Astyanax mexicanus: one gene and its partner. The protein of the gene in region 1 purifies or fractionates together with the protein of each later gene. This does not show direct contact. Links are inferred from orthologs where the notes say so. Each region holds a gene or a part of one and is shown on either strand. Other genes may lie near its edges.

Region 1 (9,040 bases):
CACCCAGTCTAGCTTTGTGGACTGGAAGAATTTTGTGGCCTTGAAGGATCGGAAAAGGTATCTATGGTATGATAAAAATAAAAATAAATATTATAAATTATTAAAAAACTTCAGGTTAAAGAACTACCAAATATGAAAATACTGCAAAACAAACCTCTTCTTCTGCGCTTTAGGTGGTCTGTGTTTCAGCGCATTGAGAACATAGTACTTCAGGAGCTTCTGGTAGGACACACGTACTTTCACAGGCTGTCCAGCAGGGCAGTGTTCCCTGTACCTGAATTAATGAATTAAAAATGATACTACAATCAAAAAAAGACCTAAGTGTCCAACACTTATGTCATTGAAAAGACTAAGCAAGCTACAAGTATTATAATTCAGAGCTCACCAATTCTTGATCAGGGGAACATCGATGGCACGCCTGGACCTTCCGGAGCGCAGGTTGAACGGACGTGGGGCCCAGAGAAGGGCAATCCCATTGGCTGTGTTGTCAGTATAAAGAGGCGTCTCTTTGAGGAAAGGCTCCACATACTCAGGAAGCTCAAATTCCTCGTCATCGTCTGGCAGTGGCTCTTGGCTCTGAGGAAAGCATAATATATGTTTTATTGTAATCATTCAATAATCAACTCACAAGACCCATAACAACCCATCAGTCAGATTTTACTAGTTTGTTCTTTTGTCTGATAAATGCAGACCAAGCAATCCTAACTACTACCGTCCTTACTTTTACAGAATGTCTGTGAGAGATGGGATTGATGAGAGGATCAAAGTAGAAAGCAGGCAAATCAGGATCCTCTGTCTTGATGAACACCACATTAGGAGTGTGGTACCTGGGTAAACAGTATCGTAATTATGTATTATAATCAACTTATATTTTAAATCACAAACACAAGAAACATTAAAAAGAAAGGTCTTTTTACCAAGTGAGATGGACGTGATGTGGAAGATTATTGTACAAGTATGGGAAAGCAATCTTGTACTCTGTTCTAATCGGCTGTCTGATGATGATCTTGTTGATGTCGTTAAACTCATTCCAGTCTTCATCCCTGTAACAGAAGTTGGCAAACTTAAATCATGCATAAATTTCAAAAGACCTTAAAGGAGAGACGATTCAATCTAGTACAGTGTACTTAAAAAGAATGCAGGTATACATACTGTAGATTGATGTCTCTGACCAGGGGTTCAAATTTGGGCCCTCCAGGAATGGCCATGTTTAAGGCCTTTGAAGTGAAGAAGGCCTTCAGGTCAAACAAATAGAAGTAGTTCCTATCCACTAAATCAGTTAGCAGCTGGTTGGCTAACCGATAAAGAGTGGACATCATTGGCAAGGTGAACTGCCAACGTCTGTATGTCGTCCCATTGACATATCTAAAAGACAAAGAGACATAATGAGATAAGGTGGTAAAAAACTAAAATTTATTTTTTTGTTGATTGTGACAAAGACTCACTTGGTAGCATCCTTCAGTGGCTGGTGTTCGTAAAACCATTCTACAACTGAGCAATCTTCCTCAGGGTCCATTTCCATCTGAATGGCTTCCAGGGGCTCCACATCCAGAATGTTATCAGCATAGTCCAGTGGGGGCTCCTCATCATCAAAGGGAGGAAAGCGCATACGCTTGAAGTGCCTTCTGTCTCTTTTCTCACGACGCATCATGATCCACATGGTACTAGCGTCAAACAGAAAAAGAAGTGATTAATCTCAAAAGTTTAATAAATCTATACATTTGATAAAAAACAAAGCTTGATTGGAACAATGGTAACTTACCCCCATTGTGCAATGTAAACTGGTTCAATGACCCAAGGAATTTCATTTACAAAGGAAATGGCTCCTGTGATGTGGTACAGCACTGGCACATCTCTGATCTGCTCCCAGGGCATGGGCATATTCTCCAGCAGTTTCAGTACTGCATGAGGCATGTACTTCAGAGCCCTAGAGACAAAAACAGACACATCATCTGTTACAAAAACAGTTGTTACAATTTTTTCACAAAGTTTGCAGTTAAACAATTATTTTAAAAAGTGTGCACAAATCTCTATATTTACCCAAGATAGACTCGTTTGTCGTGACGAAATTTCCTGTTGGTCATATCTCCATGGTCCCGAATGATTTTCCGCACATGCTCTGGTGGCATGTCCTCTTTCTGAGCATCGACAAAACCAAATTTCCTCTTCTCCGAGTAGCGTTTTGCCTGCAGCTGCTGCCATTTCCGGGCTGGAATTAAAACAGACAAAAGTGTATCAGAATTCTGATAACACAAGGATTTATAGTGCACACGTTCAATAAACAATTCATTGCTTTCGTGCATTCAAACCTTTTTCTTGAAGCTTCTCCTCAGACATGTAGTCTGGCACCGGGGCAGGAGGAGGAACACCAGGGACACCTCTGTAGGGGAATGTAGCTGCCATGGCAGCGTCTACTGTTGGAAGACAGCAATGCAGAACAGTTAGGTCTAAGATGGCATAATGGCAAAACAAATGAATATGTAAAACAGAAAGAACAAAGCTGGCAGTTTTAACACACTTTCACAGAGCTGTGGATCAGATAAAACATGCCACATTACACAATCCCTTAAATCACTGCTTTGCAATAATAATAATAAAATTAACTTTTTTGCATGCTGCATCAGAATACCTGGAATAGGATCAAAAATAATAAAGCATAATGTTCTAATTTTCATCAAAAAAATAATAATAATAATAACAATAATAATAATTAATAATAAGAGCACTATACGTTTTTATATGAAAATTTGGACCACTGACGTCTGGTGAGTCTTGTATTTTTATAAAACCGCAATATAGCATAGCTAGATCCTTAAAAAGCATTTTGCTATATAAGCTTCTACAATACTAAGAAAGGAGTTGCTCTCCACCTTCGGAACAGAAAACCACAATATTTAAGGACTGCAAAAACTTCCAAGTTAAGCTATTTAAATAAAATCCTAGTCTTTAAATACTGGTTAAAGTAAAATAAAATATTTTTTCACCACATATATTGTATTGTATTGTCTTAATCACAAATGGATACATTTAAGTAACTTACACAAAAAGTTTAATTCAGTTTAGACTGAAAACATTTTTAAAGCATTTTTAATTGCATTGTTGCTTTTAACACACACATTGGACACATTAACCTAAGGTAACACTAATTATCTAGCTAGCTGGATAACTATTACAAACACAAATATTTAGCTAACTAAGCTAACTAGCATTGCCTCATATTCAATATAAAAATAAATAGATACCTTCAGTGACCGTCGGAAAGAAGAAAAGTTTAACTAGAAAGCAAAACTCTAATTATTGTTGTTTGGATTCTAACAATTTTAACCTAGCCGGCGTTAGCTAACAGCTAGCCATGCCAACTAATTTACCCGCTTACGCTAAAGCATTATCCACACTACAGCTACGCTCTGGCTACTAACAAAGTGGCTAACGAGCCGCAAATTATTTGTTTAGCTATAAACTGTAACCAACAGGCGCATTCTCACACAACACAAAATAAAAATAAACCAGAGCCGAACTGTGTTTAATACGAGTCGCAATAGTATTTGGATTAAACCAAGCTAGCGTTACCTTAGCACGATAGCTAGCTTCAGCTAACTACGTAACAAAGCACGAGCCGAGGCTAACGGGTTTAGCTATAACTCTCTCACAGGTTACAGAGCATGCCCATAAACAAACATTTAGCAAATATGAATCTATAAAACTATACCCAGAGAACGCCTCAGTTTAATACAGCATTAAAAACATCTTACTGTGTTTAAACCCAGAGTTTCTCCGGAGTTTCCTGCAGAATGGCGCTCCGAGAAACGATTCCACACGTTGTGCGTAACAACACACAATTCACCACCGCGAAGTGCGAAGTTTCCTACTCTGAATCGCAAAGAAGGAGTAACCCTTTACGCAGGACCACTAAAACATGCGTATCCAAAGCCCCGGATGAGGAAATAATACAGTTTCCGTTTGGAGCCCGTTAAAAGTTTGTAAACGCAGTTGTTTTATTTTACATTTAATTTAATGTTCAAATATATTAAAAACAATAAAAATGAAGAACTATTTTGCTTAAAGAAAATATAGCGCGAAAACTAACAATGTCTTATTTTTTATGTTTATGTTTTGCACATTTAAGAAATAAATTTGAAAAAAATATATAAAAAGTTAAGGCAAAAAATATATAATATTTATATTAATATTAATATTAACATTAATAATAATAATAATAATAATAATAATAATAACAATAATTATTGTTATTATTATTACTATTATTATTATTATTATTATTATTATTATTATTATTATTATTATTGTTGTTGTTGTTGTTGTTGTTGTTGTTGTTGTTGTTACTAAACAAAAAAATCTAATATTTTCTTTAAGCTATGTATTTCCTCATTTTAATTCTATATATAATTTATATGTTTACGAATTTACATTTGTCACGTCAAGACATTTATATGTGAAGAGTCCCCAGCAGATGGCGTTATCGGTAAAAGCAACTCGTGGGCATAGGTACCTGTAATGAACAGAATAATAAAAAAATAAGTTTACATTTACAATATTAAAGCTGTACGACCATACATTGTTCTTTATGTGAGTAAATATCCAGTTAAATATATAATAAGGTAAATATATGAAAACATTTGCTACTGATAATGAATATTGTTTTTATGTAGTTTTATTATGTCTTGGTTAAAATAGAGTCTACACAATGTCATAATGCAATTGTGTAACTATATTACATACACAATATAATATGTGGGCCCTCTATATAAAAAATAACATTGCTTTCCAGCCTTACCTCATGGGTCTTAGTTTTGCTCATGAAGTTACTAAGCACAGTTTCCATCATGGAAGATATGGCACTGCACCAGGCAACAAATCAAACACTCATCATCACTCCCAGTAGAGGCTACTGCTCATTTTTCCTGTGGGCAGAATACTAAAGCCAACAAAGGAAGCTGAGTAGGACACACTGTAATGTTGTGGGAACAGAGTGACAGTGAAATATTGTGTATTCTGACCCTTTAATTTAAAAATAGACAATACTGTTTCAAAATTATTCTGTCACTCAGCTCATTATAGTCGCTGCTGTGCCACAGTGTTTAGTAGCTGTGTAGTGCCCTTCACCTGTCATCTCCTGACATAACTTCTCTTCTCAATTTCCCTCCAGCTGGCAGCTCTCCCAAACAGGATGCCATTCCTCTACATCCCCATCTCAGGCCACCCTCTACAGCCTTATAAGGGGTATGTTCTGAAAGTTCCTGCTGCTTTTAACTCTGTAGTCTAAATTTTAATATGGACCATTTATTTCAACACCCAAATTGTGTGTCCTTGCAGGGGAGTGGATTTACCAGCTCCTCTGAGCTATAAAAGTGTATACTTGGGGTGGGCATTTCAGAGATGGAAAAAAGAGATGGAAGGGAGAGGACAGGAAGCACACTCACTGTGCTTCCTCCTGCAAAGATGTCTCTGTTTGATGGGTAACTTGTCACACACAGCAGATGGCATTTCAACTTCCCTGTTTATTAATGAGCATTTATGTCTCTTGGCAATCACTGTTAAAGGACCCACATCATGATAAACAGCCTTTTCCTTTTTGGTTTAAGACAAAAGAGTTTGATGTAGTTTGAAAACTTTATTTAAAGTGTCCTTGAATGGAAAACTGTGTTGACCTTGGCATAGCTGAGTTTGGTACATAGAAATGACACTGTCAAATACTGATGTCTTTTTATGTAAAAAGAAATCTGGCATAATCTAACCAATTAGCCCAATCCAACATCCAGCCCACAAGCAAAGCTACAATGCAGTAAAACATATTGGCCACGCTGGGAGAGTATGATGTTTATTAATACTTTATTTAGTTTTCTAAGACAAGCATGCACATCACCACCACCAGACTTTAGTTAACAGAAAACTGGTTGCTACCTGAACTAGGCCATTGTGACTGTGGCTTTTCATGGGACAGTATCAGCAGAAGATACTGCAAATTCATATTTAGCATAAGAGGAAGCTAATCCAACTGTGCTAGGCTAAAGCCACTTTTGCTCCTATAAATACAAAGTGCATTTTAGAGTAGCGTTACTGAACCTCAGAATCTTGTCAGCTAATGTTCAACTTAAAACCTAAGCATGTTCTCCAAAAGTCATATTTTTATACTTACTATAACCATTAACAAGCTTCTTACACCTCTCAACTGGAATTTTAAGATCTCTCCACAGGTATTCAACAGGATTTAGGTCCGGACTCATTGCTGTCCAGTTCAAAACTCTCCAGCACTTTGATTCCATCCATCTTATCACACTGGATGCTTTTTGAAGCATTCTGAAACTGCTCCCTATACTGGTATGGCAATTTTCAAATTTAATGATGAGTTATGTGTGAAATAATGTAAGATTTTCCATTGTTTCTCTACTTTTTGTGTTGTTCCAATACACACAAATAAATAAACATGTGTAGAATCCTTTTAATTTGGAGAAATTTCACATGTGCCAACACTTTAGGACATGACTGCATATACAGTACACAACAACTTAAACAAGCATGATCCCTCAGACCAAGCTAAGAATGCAGTTGACCCAGGTTTACCGTGAATATGAGATGCCAACTACTAATTTTCTTACTTAATAAACCACATAGTGACATTAGCTATGCTTCTGCCAAGGCTCACTTCATCACGGTGGGACGTCAAAACTGCTGTTTCCTGTTGATACCCAGAAATCATGAATGTCTCAGCCGTGTCACAGGTCATAGGATGTGTGCGTGTGTCATTTCCTCTTTTAACAGTGCTATATTTTAATGGAACACCCATCACTGACAAGAATAGGTACCACACACACCCCCACCCCCACACAAACTCATTATAGCCCTTCAGTCTTTAATATATGTTTTGTCTGAAATATGGCTTGAAATAAAATGGGGGGGCTGGAGCCTATCATGTGTGTACCTTGTTAAATAACTAGAAGTATTAATTTGTACCCAACTGGCATTTTAACGTTGAATCAGTTAAACGTGTATATGGCGAAGTTGTTTCAATGTTCAACCTGTAATAAACCATATCTCACAGTCGGGATGCTCAAAATTGTATTAAAGTATAAAAAAAAAACAGGAATAAAAACTGTATACCATCATAAAAAAAGTAATTTTTTTATTTTTATTCTCTCTCTAAATATACAACTCTGAGAAGTAGGAACTGTACAATTACAAACAAAAAGCAATTACTACACGTAGCTAAAACTAGAAAATCCTATTGATAACAAAGGGTTAACAATAAACTTACATCACTGTAGTAAAGCTGAGTATAAAGAATGTTACCCACCACTACCAATCTGATTCAACAGTATGGTGATGAAATTTCAAATGCTAATTCAAAGAGCAGAAGGATGAGTACATTTCAAAATTTTCACAACCATTTAACATTAAATATTGTTTTAACATTGTGTTATCTGTGAGAGCTTAAGAAAGCAAGTCTAATCGCTGCTCAGGAACAGGAACAGGAATGTCTCGGTCACAGGCCTGTCAGGTTGAGGGTCAGCGGAGATGGAGATATTTAAAGCCTGTCTATCAAATGTGAAAGCTTGTGGTTGCCTAATGGTGCCATATCCTGCCACCAACCTTATCTGTCTATAAAACAGTAGATACAAATGTTGGATGTGAGTTTTTAGGGAAAATTGTAAAAAGGTTTTCCTTAAAGTAGTGTATGGTGTAAGGACTAAGTTAATGTTGTATATGAAGGGGAAGCAGCGTGGCTTCCTCTGGTGTTTACTCAGAGAATGTCGAGGACAGGATGCTGGAGTTTGGAGGAAACCCTGGCGGCAAACCCTCGCCGTCCTGAGCGGAGCGGCAAAGAAGGAACATCAATTATACTGGGGCTGGCTTTGGGAAGAGGCCCGGACATCCCCACATATCTCTCTCTTGCTTAACAGAGGAAGCTGGCAGTAGCTCTCTTACTGCCGCAGGTAACACTACTTACTCCACCCTGTCTCTCATTAGCTTTCACTGCTTATATTTGCTCAGTTTTCACTACTTCTCTACTTTACTGGCCATAGCAAAGTGTTTTTACTCTGTTCCAACCATCTCCAGCATCTGCTGAGGAACGACAGTGGTGTGAAAGGATCAGGCACACTGTCAGTGAGGAAGAAGGGAACACAAGGAGACAGCAGCCATCATGATGGAGCTGAAGATTCAGTTGGTCCCAACAGGGGAGATCATCCTCTCTCCAGGGATGAATGGAGAGAGCTACTGTCACAGCTGCTCCAAGGTAAGAGAGAGCATGTCTAATGACTTGTTTTGAACTGTAGTGGAACTGGAAGCTGGTGTAATAGATTGTTGTTATGAGATTATAGCACTGGGTCTTACTTATAATAAAAGTGCATTACTAACAACACAGAGAGATGATGCTGCATTCAGTATGTGCAAGCTCAAAGCCATTTTAAAGTTTATAAATACTATAAATCCAGTGTGGTGCCAGATGAATGTGTATAATAGCTATATTAAACTATTTGATGTTGATACATGTAATTAGTAGGGTGTTTCACAATAAAACTATACAGAAAATACAGAAATTAATATGATTAATATGTTTTAGGCACTGTATTGGATGCACGGAACCTATCCCCAGAAAATCCCAATAAACAGATAACAGAATATGTTTTTTTCTTAAAATGTCCATGATAATTACAGATATCAGATGTCCTGCACCTTGTGAAAAAATAATAAAAATTACTGTGGAAAGTCTCCAGAATTACTTGTAAACAGCCACATTGCATTATTTAACACTAACGTTATAAAGTTAGGGTTAGGATGATACTGTATTTTTTACAGTATCAGTATATTTATTGTTAAAAAATACACTAGCTATAGGACATTATGTTGTCTATTTTAAAGTCTTTAAATCAGCATTGTATATACTGTAATATTGAAAAACAAAAATGTCTAATATGGAATAACAATTTGAACTATAGTATATTAAAATTAATTTGTCTGTGTTTTTATTATAGTGGCTGTCCTTTATAGTAAGCATGTGCCTGCATAGTAGAATAAAGCA
Region 2 (8,230 bases), on another chromosome or scaffold:
TGTTGGGCAGGCCCTGTTGGGTCTCTATAGGGGGATATTGCATGGGTTGTTTTTGGGAAGTGCTTGTGCTAAACATAAAGCTATCTGGTATTTACATGCATAAGAAGTCAAATTGGGGTCTTCAAAGTTGACAAGAAAATAAATCACGAAAAAAAAGTCACAAAAATAATCTGATTTTGCAAACAAAATATTTCACTTGCAATTTTTAGTTTAGGATGAATCTTTTGCAATACCACTTTTTCTTTTTGTTTTGCAATTTGCGTTCCTTTTTGTCTTTTTGCAGTACTTTCCCTCTTTTGCGTTCCTCCATTTTGTTTGTGAGTCTATTTTGACCCCTTTTTGACGTGGGGGTGTGCGGAGAGGAGAGGGGCGTGGTCAGGATGGAAAGGCGGGTTATGGAGGATTCACGTCAGCAGCTGCAGAGATCGGCAGGGGACTTATTTCGGCGCAACACCAGCAAACATATTACACACAGCTGATCCAACTAATGAACAAACTGCCCTCACCAAGAGCTGAGAGTGTTACAGCAGAAACACACTTACCCTGCAGAACAGAGTAACTCCAGAACCAGATTTAAATACTGTAGCACTTTTTACCATTTACCGCCTTATTATGCTGTGAAATAAATTAGAGATGTTTGGTGTTTCTGGCTCGTTGTTTTAGTACACATTTAGACGACATTAAGATTTGTCCTTAAAAAACTAATTAAGTCTTTTTACATTACGTGTTTTAGACTCTATGGTTCTTCAGTTAGCTGGGTTAACTTTGTGGTTCTGGAGTAACACTGTCCTTCTAGTTTTTCTGCTGTATCACACAACTCACCTCAGTGAGGGCAAATAGTTGACTAGTTAGTTGTTAGTTGATTATTTGAATCAGGTGTTGTAATTAGTATAAACTAATGGCTATAATTAAATACTAAACCTGCAGAGAAGCGCTGCTCCTAAACTGAGAACAACGTTCTCTTATTATCTGCCTTTTAAAGCTCTAACACAGACTACACTGCTCCACAGCACCAGACTGAAAGAGTTTTCACCTGTTTAAATACTTTAATGATCCTCTGTGAAGAAGAACAATAATCTAAAACGCGATCCTGCCATTCCCTGCCACTGTGCTGTGAGGTTAGTTAAGCACAGTTAAATCTCGAAATTCAGAGGATCCAGTGATGTTCAGGAGGTAAATGTACACAGAATAAAACGTACAGGGTTCTGAACATATTTATTTACCACAGAATGTGATATAGAGACCAGTTTTAGAAAAGCCTTTTAATTTTTTTACCATAGGTCTGAACCTATTAGACACGGAACCCCAAATATGGGCATAAACAATATGGCGCCGACTACAAAATTACTACACGACTTCATTGGTCTATATAACTCAGATAGAATAGAAATATCAAACAGAACAAACAAAAAAGAAAAAAAATATGTGTTGTTCTTCATGATTTTAACAGCCATATATAACGCTCTGGCAATTAGGCTCACTGTGCGATTCGACAGTTTCTTATACTATAAAAGGCTCATTAAATCGATTTAATCATTTGTACGATTTCCAATGTCATTATGCAAAATATCAAAAGTAATATTTGCTCTTTAGTGTGAAGTACTGTATCTTACATCTGACATTTAGGTTTTTATTCTTATTATTATTACTATTTTAATCATTAATATTGTATGGCTTTATATGGACAACTTTATATGGACACACTGCACATGTGTATCTAGCTGTATCTCACAGTCTCTCTCTTTTTATTGCATAATATCACATTCTGGTATGAGTAATTTTTCTTTCTATTTTTCAGACGTGTGTACTTGTGTGTATCTGTATATACGTTCCTGGAACAGTCTAATTCCCCCAGGGAGATTAATAAATTATGTTTTATGTTACGTTCCGTTTTGTTATCTTAATGTATCTACGTTATATTAAAGTCTAAATTAAACTTACTGTGTTTTTTTTCCCTTTTTATTCAGAGCCTCTGCACAGCGTTGTGTTTTATTGGGGCTTTTCATTGTTAAAATCCGCCATCTACAGGCGGCCGCGTGTAACTCACAGTGAGTGAAAAAGAAGCCAAATTCAGTCTTGTTCTCAATTTAACAACTAAAAATAACAATATTATATAATTCAATAATTATGTGTATGTAAAATTATTAGCATTCACTTACGAACTGTAAATAGTTGTTGTTCAGGCTGGTTAGCTTGGTCGGGGCGGCTGGTTGAGCTGGCCGGTTTTCTATCGAGTTGTGCTACCCTGTCAAACCATGCTACCGTAGTGTATATTTAAACGTAAAAATGCTAAAAGAAAAAAAAGTCCCATATTTAAAAATGGTTTCACCATATCAGGATACCTATGGAAGCCCATTTCCGCCACCTGAAGAAAAAAAAAAACGTCCTCAACTAAGTCATAATTATGAGATAGAAAAGTCTTAATTATGGGATAGTAAGTCATAGTTATGAGATAGTAAGTCATAATTATGAGATAGTAAGTCATAATTATGAGATAGTAAGTCATAATTATGAGATAGTAAGTCATAATTATGAGATACTACGTCATAATTATGAGATAGTAAGTCATAATTATGAGATAAAAAAGTCATAATTATGAGATAGTAAGTCATAATTATGAGATAGAAAAGTCATAATTATGGGATAGTAAGTCATAATTATGAGATAGTAAGTCATAATTATGAGATACTAAGTCATAATTATGAGATAGTAAGTCATAATTATGAGATAAAAAAGTCATAATTATGAGATAGTAAGTCATATTTATGAGATAAAAAGTCATAATTATGAGATACTAAGTCATAATTATGAGATAGTAAGTCATAATTATGAGATAAAAAAGTCATAATTATGAGATAGTAAGTCATATTTATGAGATAAAAAGTCATCTCATAATTATGACTTTCTATCTCATAATTATGACTTTCTATCTCATAATTATGACATAGTATCTCATAATTATGACTTACTATCTCATAATTATGACTTACTATCCCATAATTATGACTTTTCTATCTCATAATTATGACTTACTATCCCATAATTATGACTTTTCTATCTCATAATTATGACTTAGTTGAGGACGTTTTTTTTCTTCAGGTGGCGGAAATGGGCTTCCATAGGGATACAGTTTGGAGTTAATAGGAATGATTATAAACCGTATTTATTTTTTCGTTGCTCATGTATTACTTTTATTATTATTAATTCACACATTTGTAACACAAATAATGTCAGGGAACTCCGATTGTTTAATGCACCCAAGAAGAACAGAAATGCTATAAAATAAATGGATAAAATTCATTAATAATTTGTTTTTTAAATGTGCGCATGGTGCGCACTGGCGATGAGAAGCACATTTCGATGAGTAGCACAACTCGGACAGAACACCTGTCTGACGTGATCTTCCACAACCCGTGTTTCCATCTTGGCCACGCCCCTCTCCTCTCCCCACACCCCCACACCAAAAAGGAACTCGCAAATAAAGGTGCTTGCACACTGAACGCGGTATGCCGCGCGGCATTCCGCTGTGCTGCCGCTCTGCTCTACGCTGGTCAGTTGCGGGTGCGTTGCGCTGCTGCTGACGCCAAGCGTCTCCTGCTGATAATAGGCGGAGTTTTCTAAAACCCATCACCTCTGTGAGCGGTGTTTTGTAGTTTTGAGTCTCTACAGCCTCTGTGCATCTGTATATGTTTCTCAGCCTCAGAACAAAGCTCTGATTCTTCTCTTCCTCCTGTTATCTCTATATGAGTGTAGGGAAGTGATGTACAGCTGAGGGGATTCACTAATCGCTATTATTAGTCTCTCGCGCACGTTTATTGTTGTTTGGACTACAGTTTCTCTCTAGTCGCGTGAGTTCACGTCATGCGTTTTCTGCCGAGGTACCGCTTGCCGCGAGGTCAAAGTTGAACCATGTTGAACTTTGCCCGCGGTAAGCGGTAGCGCGGTGGAGGCGTGGTTATGGGCGGGGAAACGCGCCGCTTTCCGCTCTGCTCCGCGGCAGCGACGCACCGCTCTACCGCTCTAGACACTATTGAATCCTATGGGGGTCAGCGTACCGCGCCGCACCTACCGCGTGCAGTGTGCAAGCACCTTTAAACGGAGGAACGCAAAAGCAGGGAAGTACTGCAAAAAGAAAACACAGAAAAAGTGGTGTTGCAATATCAGATTTTTTTGCAACTTGTGAAGATTTTTTTCATGATAATTTAATTTTCTCGTCATGCGGGGCACCTGAATATGTTGACAGGGAAAGAAATAACGCATTAAAAAAGAAAGAACAAAACAAAGAGAAATGTGATTGTAAAGAAGGAAATAAAGAAAGAGAGAGAGAGTGAAAGAAAGAGAAAACTTTACAGAAGAAAGAAAGAGAGAGAGAGAGTGAAAGAGACAGAAAACTTTACAGAAGAAACTTTACAGAAGAAAAAAGAGAGAGAGAGAGAGAGTGAAAGAGAAAAATTAAAGCACATTGAGGGTAAATGTGTTCAGTAGCGCCTCCAGGCCGCGCGGGGCAGCAGTGCGGGAGTGTCCGCTCTGCAGCTACTTCCTGACGGCAGCGCGTGCGTTGTGTGTCCGCAGTGCTGCTGGCGGTAAATGAGCAGAGATTCCGGGCCGGGTGTTTGTTTGGTGTTTATTTGAGTTTATTCTGAATTAAACCGGTTTATTTTACTCATCTCTCCGCTTCAGTTCGGCAGCAGCATGGTGAAGCTCTCGGCTGAGCTGATAGAACAGGCGGCTCAGTACACCAACCCCGTCCGGGACCGAGAACTGGACCTGAGAGGTGAGAGACTACAATAACATATATACAGACTTTATACAGTTTAATTACTTTATCTAGCGTACAGAGCTGATAATACTAGTCTTCTTCAGGCAGACTGGTGGCTGTAGATGATCTGTAGTAGGGGGGGGGGGGGATATCACAGTGCTCTATGTGTTTAAGACAAGACAGGTTGGGGTGGTGGCTTTGTGCAGATCTGCATCAGGATACTCTGTTCTGCTGTAGCTCTTTATTATCTCTGGGTGAAGGTTAAGGTCTTTTTAATATAAAATGTTTTTTAGTATATATACATACAGCTCTGGAAAAAATAAGAGACCAATTCATTTTCTGAATCAGTTTCTCTGATTTAGCTATTTTTAGGTATATGTTTGAGAAAAATGAACATTGTTGTTTTATTCTATAAACTACGGACAACATTTCACCCAAATTCCAAATAAAAATATTGTCATTTAAAGCATTTATTTGCAGATAATGAGAAATGGCTGAAATAACAATAAAGATGCAGAGCTTTCAGACCTCAAATAATGCAAAGAAAACAAGTTCATTTTCAGAAATCAATATTTGGTGGAATAACCCTGGTTTTTAATTACAGTTTTTATGCATCTTGTCATGTTCTCCTCAACCAGTCTTACACACTGCTTTTGCATAATTGTATGCCTTTATTCCTGGTGAAGAATTCAAGCAGTTCAGTTTGGTTTGATGGTTTGTGATCATCCATCTTCCTCTTGATTATATTCCAGAGGTTTCCATTATTTCATTTGGTTAAATAAAAAAAAAAAAACTCAATTTTTAAATTGTCTAATTTTTTTCCAGAGCTGTACAAGGTGTAAAATGACCACACTTTGAAGAAAGTGTATCAGTATTATTCTCTGCTTGAGACCTGTTTCCCTAAAAAATCAGTGTTTCTCAGCCCGGGTCCTGTAGCACCTCCTACCTCAATAATTACACAGTTTAATGGATTCATAGTTAGCTGATTTGATGTGACTTGTTTGCTGTATTGACATTTACATAGCAGGGGAGTCACTGCCTTAAAGACTCTCAGGTGAAATTTGTTTATTTATTAAATAAATGTATAATGTATGAATAGGGGTGGGCAATGTGGCCCTAAAATAATATAGGTAAATTATTATTATTTTTGCAAAAAAAAAATAAAAATAAAATTAAATTTTGTTATTACACACGATATGATATGGCATACCCCTAACTGAGGTATTGTCAGATTTGTAACAGCAGTCAATGATCTGGAATATCTTCATATATTCATGATTAAAGTAAAATAAATAATGCTGGACAGGAATAATCTATTCCTATAATTCCAATAATACGCAATATTATTGTGTATGATCTAATATGTCGCACTTCTTATTGTAAATGACCTTTTTAAAAAGTTCTTTTTAAACGTTTTAAAAGAATCTCCACAGAATCTTTTTTTTTTTTTGCATATGTATACAGTACCAGTGAAAAGTTTGGGCAAATCTTCTCATTTGATGTTTTTCTGTACACTGTGGTCCAAATTATTAAACAAGTGATATTTTTCTTAGATTTTCCTAAAGGATCAATGCGAATGACAGTCGTGATAATTTCTAAGTCATGACCCGTTAAGTGTAGCTTCTTTCTTTCTTTTTTTTTTCATTTTTTTTTTTAAACAAACCTTCCAATGGTAACAGTAATTATTTTTAAAATAAAAAGTTTTTTTTTCTTAGTAACATAGTCGCTGTGAAGTGTGGAGAATAGTTTTGCGATATATATTAATTATCGCTGAATTGCAGTTTTGAGATCACCGTTTTCATTAATTTACCACAGCTGAAAAGTGCTGGAAAAACTTGAAAATGGGACTTGAAAGTGCTGGAATTTTACCTTGTAAAAGGTGTATGAACCCAGAAGGATCTCTCTGCTGCTGAAAGGTGTGAAATAGTGCAATGCTTTGGACAAGGTGTAAAAACATTATAAACACAATATTTCACAAAAACTTCAGCGTGATAATCATACTGTGCAGAGATTTGTGGCTGATTCAGAGCACAGACAGGTTTGTGCAGATAAAGGCAAAATGAGGAAGGTTTCTGACAGACAGATTCATCGGATTAAGAGAGCAGATGCTAAAATGTCATCACAAACAAGAAAACAGATATTTGAATCTGCTGGTGCCTCTGGAGTCTCACAAACCTCAAGTTGTAGGATCTTCCAGAGGCTTACAACAGAGCTCACAAGCAAAAACGGCCCAGACGTACATGAAGACTACTTCTTTGATTGGATTTATGCTGAGGGGTTCGTGATTTGAAATTGAATGACTGTCATTTACATTGACCATTTAGGAAAATCTGAGTAAAATATCAATAGCATAATAAAGACATGAAAACAATTAAAGCGCAAACATGGAGTAAATAAATAATAAAAAAAAAATTGGCCTCCACAATCCCTATGACCTTATCCCAGCTGAGATAGGTGTCCACATTTACGGCCCATCTGATTTTTTTATTGTCATGGAACCTCAAAACAGTATAAAGTAAAGCTTTAGTTAAAGCTTTATTTCTTTAGTCTTAGCTCGGCTGTAAAATTCAGGCCAGGTTCTGCCGTGGTTTCCTCAGTTCATCATGTGTCTTTGTGTCTCAGGTTACAAAATCCCAGTGCTGGAGAATCTCGGTGCCACTCTGGACCAGTTTGACACCATTGACTTCTCTGATAATGAGATCAGAAAGCTTGATGGGTTTCCACTGCTCAAGAGGCTGAAGACCGTGCTGATGAACAACAACCGCATCTGGTGAGAGAAGAGAGACTTTCAGCGGCTCCTGTTTATCAGTGAGAAGTGGGTCAGAAGAAGTGTGGGTAGTTTTTAAATTAGCAATAGTTACAAGCTGCACTCACTTAAAAGATTTAAATTATGTTTTGAGAGTGTGTATCTGTTTGCTTAACTAGTCATTTAATCATAATAATGAAAAAGAAGAATGTTCCTCTTAATATTTTAGTATTTTTCTTTAATTATATAGTCTGTTAGGACAGGGATTCTCTTAGTTGGTCTTAGCCTGGGACCCACATTTTCTCATGGTCATTAAGTTGCGACCCACTTTTATAGAGTAGACTACAAACTAAACAAATATTTTTGAAAAATAGCCTTCAAAAACTCATTTTAACATGCATAATCATGCAAAGTGAATTTAAGAGTAATTAATTCACATGACAATAAAACATCAAAACAAAACAATCACTTCTCTGCATTCTTACATTAGTAATAAACTTGCTCTGTCTCCTTTTTCCCAATGTAGTACAATAGTACAAAATCAGATGAGCATTGATTTATATATATATATATACACACACAAACACACACACACACACTTTTTTTTCCCCTTATGTATTTAATAAAAAAAAAATTGCAAGCTGTCCGTGACTCACTTTTGAGTGCCGACCCATCAGTTGAGAATTGCTGTATTAGGACATTATTACAATACTTGTAAAGCTCTG

Evidence for each region. Proteins that work in one complex are often made in the same cells at the same time.
Region 2: the proteins of prpf8 (region 1) and snrpa1 fractionate together in Homo sapiens (co-fractionation; 3 studies listed by BioGRID, with this or other methods). This does not show direct contact. The link is inferred for Astyanax mexicanus from reciprocal best matches to the Homo sapiens genes PRPF8 and SNRPA1.

The regions. Positions count from the first base shown.
Region 1 is NC_064425.1:24,552,369-24,561,408, reverse strand, and holds the start of prpf8 (pre-mRNA-processing-splicing factor 8), read right to left. Parts: upstream 3,863-9,040; 5' UTR 3,753-3,862; intron 2,415-3,752; 5' UTR 2,404-2,414; coding exon 2,310-2,403; intron 2,210-2,309; coding exon 2,041-2,209; intron 1,928-2,040; coding exon 1,763-1,927; intron 1,665-1,762; coding exon 1,446-1,664; intron 1,366-1,445; coding exon 1,153-1,365; intron 1,044-1,152; coding exon 918-1,043; intron 828-917; coding exon 722-827; intron 577-721; coding exon 386-576; intron 275-385; coding exon 155-274; intron 62-154; coding exon 1-61. Other genes in the region: myo1cb (myosin Ic, paralog b), read left to right, coding at 8,162-8,254. UniProt on the Homo sapiens protein: Plays a role in pre-mRNA splicing as core component of precatalytic, catalytic and postcatalytic spliceosomal complexes, both of the predominant U2-type spliceosome and the minor U12-type spliceosome.
Region 2 is NC_064423.1:9,652,500-9,660,729, forward strand, and holds the start of snrpa1 (U2 small nuclear ribonucleoprotein A'), read left to right. Parts: upstream 1-4,491; 5' UTR 4,492-4,583; exon of another isoform or gene 4,584-4,680; 5' UTR 4,681-4,692; coding exon 4,693-4,774; intron 4,775-7,381; coding exon 7,382-7,529; intron 7,530-8,230. UniProt on the Homo sapiens protein: Involved in pre-mRNA splicing as component of the spliceosome. Associated with sn-RNP U2, where it contributes to the binding of stem loop IV of U2 snRNA.